Schizosaccharomyces pombe: one gene and its partner. The protein of the gene in region 2 interacts with the protein of the main gene of each other region in a pairwise test. Each region holds a gene or a part of one and is shown on either strand. Other genes may lie near its edges. The genes, in order: sws1 and SPOM_SPAC22G7.03.

What was found.
Region 1: the proteins of SPOM_SPAC22G7.03 (region 2) and sws1 interact in a two-hybrid assay, tested with the Schizosaccharomyces pombe proteins (one large-scale study listed by BioGRID).

The regions. Positions count from the first base shown.
Region 1 is NC_003423.3:1,493,288-1,496,845, forward strand, and holds sws1 (SWIM domain-containing Srs2-interacting protein 1), read left to right. Parts: upstream 1-1,542; 5' UTR 1,543-1,668; exon of another isoform or gene 1,669-1,730; 5' UTR 1,731-1,864; coding exon 1,865-2,494; 3' UTR 2,495-2,724; downstream 2,725-3,558. Other genes in the region: random septum position protein, DNAJ domain protein Rsp1, read right to left, coding at 1-1,266; aminophospholipid translocase regulatory protein Ivn1, read right to left, coding at 2,809-3,558.
Region 2 is NC_003424.3:729,707-733,275, reverse strand, and holds SPOM_SPAC22G7.03 (uncharacterized protein), read right to left. Parts: upstream 1,349-3,569; 5' UTR 1,339-1,348; coding exon 628-1,338; 3' UTR 517-627; downstream 1-516. Other genes in the region: poly(A)-specific ribonuclease complex subunit Pan2, read right to left, coding at 25-191, 236-334, 379-396; karyopherin Kap111, read right to left, coding at 1,570-1,660, 1,726-1,907, 1,954-2,049, 2,088-2,272, 2,313-2,550, 2,591-3,569.

The DNA of each region.
Region 1 (3,558 bases), on a different chromosome or scaffold from region 2:
AGAATAAGACGACCAGCGTCTCTGATACATTTCAAAGGAATTTAGATAGCTATCTACAGAGGCATTAGTCAGGTTTCTCGGTGCCTCTGGAGGGATGGGTGCCTGGATAGTTGGAACGGATGGAGGTTTGGGCAGCACTTTAGCAACTTCATCATCATCCCCTTCAATGGCAAGGGATCTCAGTATCGACTGAAGCTGGTCATCATACTCAGTCGAGTTAGATGTTGAATCGTTCTCTGCGGACAAGTCATTTAGCTGAGACCGAGTTTGATTTCGAGAAAGAGAAGAAGATTTAGAACGACTTAAGGGCTTAGGGGGTAAAGGTTTAGAAGTGGGATGTCTAAATGGAATTTCAGGTTTTGATGGTGAATTATTATCAGAATGCTCAAGTTTTATTTCAGGTGTGATATCAGTTTGATAAACGGATGGGTGCTCTGGAGTGTTTGGAGAAGTAAAAATAATAGATTCTTCAGATGTATCTTTAAAACGTTCATTATTTGATGAAGAAGAACTTCTTGGAGAGGATTTTGTTATTGAAGAATTTTCAACACCATTGGAATTCAAACCATTGGATATCTCAGACAACGGAGTATAGGTGCGTCGCTTTTCACGAAGCGATTCTAAATACAACTTGGCATTAAATTTATTATAGTTAGGGCCTTTAAAACGAGGACTACTAGAAATTGGATCCACCACGTTTTCAGTAGCATATCCATTCTTCTTAAAAATTGGAGACGTTTTTGGATGCAAATAACCAGATGATATGTAGCTTTTTGAGGTAGATACCTCTTTAAAGCTATTGTTCTTTTCCATTTTTCCGGAAGCGGAAAAAGATCGATGAAGTGAGAAGTTTGTGATATTGTTATCTTTCGAATCTACGTTTTCCCGGTCTTGTTTCTTCTTTTTTTCAGCAAATTTGGTAGCCATTGTGACACTAACCTTGGATGCAACTTTCGTGGAAATATCATTCTTTGGTCCACTTTTTTTTGGACGGAATCGCAGCACCCCATCAGGGCGACCGGCTTCTAGTAATCTTCTTTGATCAAATAACTCTCGAAGCTTTGGATCCTTTAAAACTTCATGAGCTTTTTGTATCAACTGAAACTGTGGAAGAACCTCGGCTTCCCGACCGGGGTTACGATCGGGATGGTATCGTAAAACAAGCTTTAAATATTGCTGTCGAATTTCGACATAACTACTGGTACTTTCCGCTCCAAGGATGGTGTAATAATCCACAAATTCATCATGAAACGCCGTCCTCGCCATTCACGAGCCTTTAAAATATGCGACACCTTTCTTAAAAAGATAAAAAAGTTTGAAATTGGTTTATAAAACTTTTAAATTTCACCCAAGTAATGAAACCTTTGTAACTAACCGATTTTTGAGGTTTTCCTGAAACTGCTCGAAATAGTGTTTTCGACTTAAATTAACTTGTAAAACGTTCGTTCCTTTTTCTTTATTTTCGCAAATATTAGTTAAGAAAAATAAAACGAGTTAAAAATTTTAACGATTAAACTCTACTTTGTATCTTCTATACTTGACTAGAGCAAACAAAGACACCCCTCGAATTTGTGATTTTTACAACTTCATTAGTTTATAGCTTTGCTACGTGTTTTCCGCTTATTAGAACAAGCGAAAGCAAAGCAGATTTTTGCTGTTTTGCTTTTGGTAAGAGTTGATGAACAAAGAAGTAGTGATACTTTGAAACGAATTTGCTAATCTTTTTGAAGAGCCTATTCAATCATCCAAACTTGTCAGCATAAGTCAATAAATTAGATTATTATCTTCATTGTCATCAATTGTGTTTTCTGGATGTTGTTTGAGCTTTATGTTTTGGGGCATTGCTGAGTCTTAATAAACTTCAATGCAGCAGGGTCATTTTACTTCGAATAGTTACCACAGTAAAACTTTAAATAGTTCATCTCTACCTGTATCTTCAAAATTTTCTCACACTAATGATCCTGATGTTGAAGGCGTTGACAATGATAGTTTCTCCAAGGCATTGTGTAACAAAGATTTAGATCCTTCTTCCACTATTCGTTCAGTTATAAGCTCTTTATTAGATTCTTTACAAGATAAAGCGCTCCAACAGTCACCCAACACCTCTTTGTCAAAATTACTGTTGGAAGACCAGGATTTTGGAAGCTTGTGGTTGTCATTAAGTTTTATATTTTGTAACTACTGGCAACCTGCTATGCTGATTTTGGATTCTAAAAGCATTCATCCACTACCATTAACCGATGGTGAAGTTTTACATCGATGGGAATGTGAAGTGGATTCGAATAATAAAACTACGATTGATTTGAAGTATTGGTATTGTTCATGCTCTCAATTCTCTTACAATGCTTTTAATAGCTCGAGATCTTTTGACGAGCCAATGCCCAAAAATGAGCAAGAAACCTGGGGTGGAAGATGTCTTTCCCACCACCCTACGATTTGTTCCCATATTTTAGCTGCTTCGATTTTACGTGCTTGCCATAATCTGGTAATTTAAAAAACGTTAACCCAATTCGTTTAATTGTGACTTGACTATGATATTTAACAGTAAGGGCCGTTTAAATTGCTTTCTCAATGTAAAAGAAGAAAATACGATATGATATTCATACAACGTGATTAAAAAAAAATGTCTTATTCAGATTATGTTATGCTTTAGTTATGATGCAAGTTCATGAACCCTGAACTGGTATAAAAAAGAGAATATTGTAAGTGGAAGACGAAGCTAGCATAAGTGATTAAATGGAAAGTAAATTCCAAAATGTTCATGAAGTAGTATATGTAAAAATAAATGGTAAAGATACTCAAATTCGTTTATGAGCTTTTTCCTCTATTCCAAGATAGATATCTTGGATCGCCTACGCGTCTAGGTTTGATCAAGCAAGCAATACTAAGGATTACACCGCTCGCGGCGCAGAGCCCACCGATAACAAAATAAAGAATTCCTAAAAAGTAGTTCTTTCCTCCAATAACGGATGTTGTTGAAAACATAATAGTTTTCGTTCCTTTATATTCTGTGACAGGAAAGTTATAAGTGATATTCATTTCATAAATGCCAGGTTGAAGTGCAGTAGTAACGTTTCGAAGAGCAAGTTTGCTGAATGTTGGAAGAGCAGCAGCTCTCATCCAAATTTGAAAGGCATCCCATGTAGAAACATCGGGAATATTGTCGTCAGTATATCCATTGGGAAACATTTTTGCCCAATTTGGAGGTGGAACAATTTGGGAAGCATTGTACTTAGTTTTTTTGTATCTTTCTCTATCTTCCGGCCACGCAGTACCATTTGTAGTCATATTGTAAAGTCCAAGGGAATTTGAGCTATCAAAGGATTCGTATCGTAGAAGAGAAGAATAGCTATCGTTGAAAAGCGAGTTTGCGATAATGCCACAGGGGTAATAAGGTTTCCCTTCCTCATTTGCTTCTAACGGCTTGCAGAAACCATAGCTCTTCAGTTGTGCAACAGTTCGTGCTTCGCCTAGCAACTGAAACATATCGGCGCTAACAGTATATCGACGATGGTTTTGATAAAAATTTTTGAGACGATAAAAAGCAAACACGGGACT
Region 2 (3,569 bases):
GAATGCATATCATGATATACTTACTGATATCTCCATCTTATTGTTCCTTTGCGATTACTCAATCGTAAAGATTTACTAGAAAGGGAAAATACACCCCTTTCCTGTGGTAATACTTGGTGCACCGGACCCTCATGCCCAATGAATTGAGTATACGATGTTAGTGAGGGTCCGAAAGAAGATTTAATTTGACCCTAGAATTTACTTAGTTTCATAATTAATCTTTAATCTAACTTACATTTTTATGTCCAGTCCATACTAATTCTGAGTAGGGATCAAAAGCAATAGAACTTAAGGAACACGTCGATACACCATCATTTTCAGTTGTTTTGGTAATCTAATTTGTTAAAATTTATAATGGAATATTATAAAAATAATTACTTCTTTCCACGCATCCATCTCTCATTTCAAACAGTTGACTATAACCTCTTTCTCTAGGAGTTGAAGTGTTGGTCATAGCAAGCCAGGTTTACCTAATGAAAACTAGTAATACAACACAAACCTACGATTGTGATTTCAATCAGATATTAAATAGTTATATTAAACATTTGTATATAGTTGATAATCTGCAATGTTTTATATGCCTTTTCATTAGAACTAAATATTATATTAAGCGCCTGGTTATGAAAATTATAATGCAGAATGATCTTTTAAACTCATGCCACGAAAGCATGTATTAGCAAGCCAATCTACTAAAACTTTGTGTCTTCGATCGACTAATCGTCCTTCATCTTTCTCATGCGATTTTCTTTTCGATTCCCAGAATGTTGGTATCCATGTAGCATAAATAGTTTCTAAGCTAACGGTACGTTGTGTATCCTCATTAATTGAAATATCTTCAATAATAGGTATTCGTTCTTGTAAACCTCCTGTCTCACAAACTATAAGTATTTTACTATTTTGTAAGCAAAGCATCAAATACCTAGATAGGTAACGTCCATTTAAGCAACCCCTAATTTTTAGCAGTTTGGAAATATCTGCTATTCCCAGTATTAATTTTGCGTGCTTTAAACGTACTTCAACTATTTTTTCTAAATCATCCACATGAGAACAAGGAATCAATTGAATTCGTTCTAAAACTGATTGAAAATGAATGGAATAAGCTTCCTTAGCTAAAAATCCATCAAATGGATTTTCCATTCTTAGAATGTTTTCCATTGGATTAGTCGAACCTGTTGGATATACTAACACGCCTTCGTCCACATCATTGCACTCAAGGGCATTTACTAAAGTAAGCAACATAGCAGAGATACTTCCAGAATGAACAAAAATGGGGTATTCAATGCTCGTTGACCTGACCTTTCCCCCATTTCCAAAATGCTCTTTAATTAGTTGTTGCATTAAGTAGTATAAAGATAATTTACGTGTTGTGCTCAATAAATACTCGAAAATCTTAAAAACCAATTTGATCAAAAAATTTCAGCCTATTTACTTCTTTAAAAAAACGAATGTTATTTCTCGTAAATTTTAGAATAAGCAGCATTTTGCTTATCTTTTATTATACAAAGTTAATTAACTGGAGACTATGTAGCTTGGCAGTTTCCTACCAAGCTATTTTATTTATTACATGATTTAAAAGGTCCAGCTTGAATTGCCATAAGGAGTACTTTCTAGTCCTTTGCAAAGTATCCAAAATTGTTTTACTTTGTCTTTTATTCGTGCCCTAGAATTTGTTGTTAACAAGATAATCATTACATAGACGTGATGAAAACGACAAATAATGCTTACTTAAGAAGATCTGTTAAAAATCGACGTTTGATCTCATTTGAAACATTCCGTGAAGGAAATCCTTCTTCTTCAAGTGACTGAGTAAGGCATGCTCTTGTCGCAGAGAAATTTTGTGCCTTTAATTTTCCTAATATATCTGAAAGCAACGGTAAAGAGCTCCGTGATGCATTTCCACCGAACCCCTATAAATCAGTATTAGTTTGCAAAAAAAGCATAAATATTGTTTACCAATAGTATTTTAGCAATAAGAGGACTTCGAATTGCATTCACGAAATCTGTATGAGTGTTTAGGAGGTCGCTTTTTTCGGACGTAATGAATGAAATCTTAATGTTAATATTTTTAACAGATAATGATCACTTACAATAAATTGGCCGGCTGCTGATTCTAACAATCTCTCAGGCTTGCCAAGCAAATTAATCGCGCGGTTTAAAATAAGTTGGGTAAAATCTGGATACATCGTTTCTAAAAATGAGGGGTGTTTTTGAAGAATTATTGAAAAGAAGTGATATAATTCGACTGTAATGTCGATATTGTTCATAAATGATTCTATTTTAGTTAGTATGGCACATTGCTGCTAATTATTTACCTTCATTGATTATAACAACAGAATTTTGAATCGATGAGCACATATCAATTAGCACTTTGTCAATAATATCAGTCTGGCCGTAAGGACATGTCAAAATTGCTGATCCCAACGTTAGCAAAACTGCTGCCGGAAATTCTGTAAATCTGTCACAGAAGTATTGAATGGTAGTTACTATAGGCAATGAAAATGGAGAAGGCTCTACTTCATTAAGACCAGCAATCATAATCTTGCAAATTAACTATATCATATTAGTATTTTCGGTTTAACAGATCACCTACCCCAACGACGTCGGAATACTGTAACGCCATAGACTCGGAATGGGTCAAAAAGGAAATGAGTTTTGCTTGAAATTCTGCAATGCACGATTGCTGCCAAAAAGTTGTTTCCTGGGTAGATTGCTCAACATCAATTATTGGACTTTCGCCAATTGGACTCTGACTTAAGGCCACTCCGGCTACGCTTTGGAGGCAGGATTTCAAAACGTTTTCGAATATTTCAAGATTAGGATATAAACTTGGTTGAAGTTGTGCGAGAATGCAGTTTAAAAGTCTCATCAGATAACTGATTCTTAATTCAATATCTTCTATACGTTGTGTAACATATCCAACGGAGCTATAAATCTTTTCTAGCACAGAAGGTACATATACCAGCTTGGGTGTTAGTTCTTCAACCACCGCCATGAATCCGTCGATTTCAGTTAATAGATGGGATGCACAAGTTGTACATAGAGTGTGTATTGAACGAGAGACAGTCATTTGTATTGAAGTTTCAGAAATGTGTAAGGCATCGAATAAAACTGGCAAAGATATATTAAGATATTGAGGGTGATTTTGAAGAAAGCAAGAGCAACTGCTTAATAATTGAGAACAGGTTTTTAATAGTTGCGGGTTTTGGAAAGCCGAAGCCTTTATAGCAAAACTCGTTTCAAATAACCGAGTAAGCCAGGCATCTAACGTATCACTGTCATTGGTGTCGTACTCTAAAATACAACATAAGCAATAAAATGAAACCTCTAATGATTGAGGGCTTCCTGTACCATCCGAGAAGAAATTCTCAATAGTCGTTATATACATAGCATAAAGCCTTTCTCCAAAAATGGAATAAGAACTTTCTAAAAGATCACCCAAATCACGTCTGTAACTATTGAATGAATCACGCGAACTAGAAGGCCAAGAATTCCATTGTTCGGGGGAGGGTAATAACATTTTCCACCATGCTTTTTCGACTACAGAAAATGCTATTTGCTTGAATATTTCA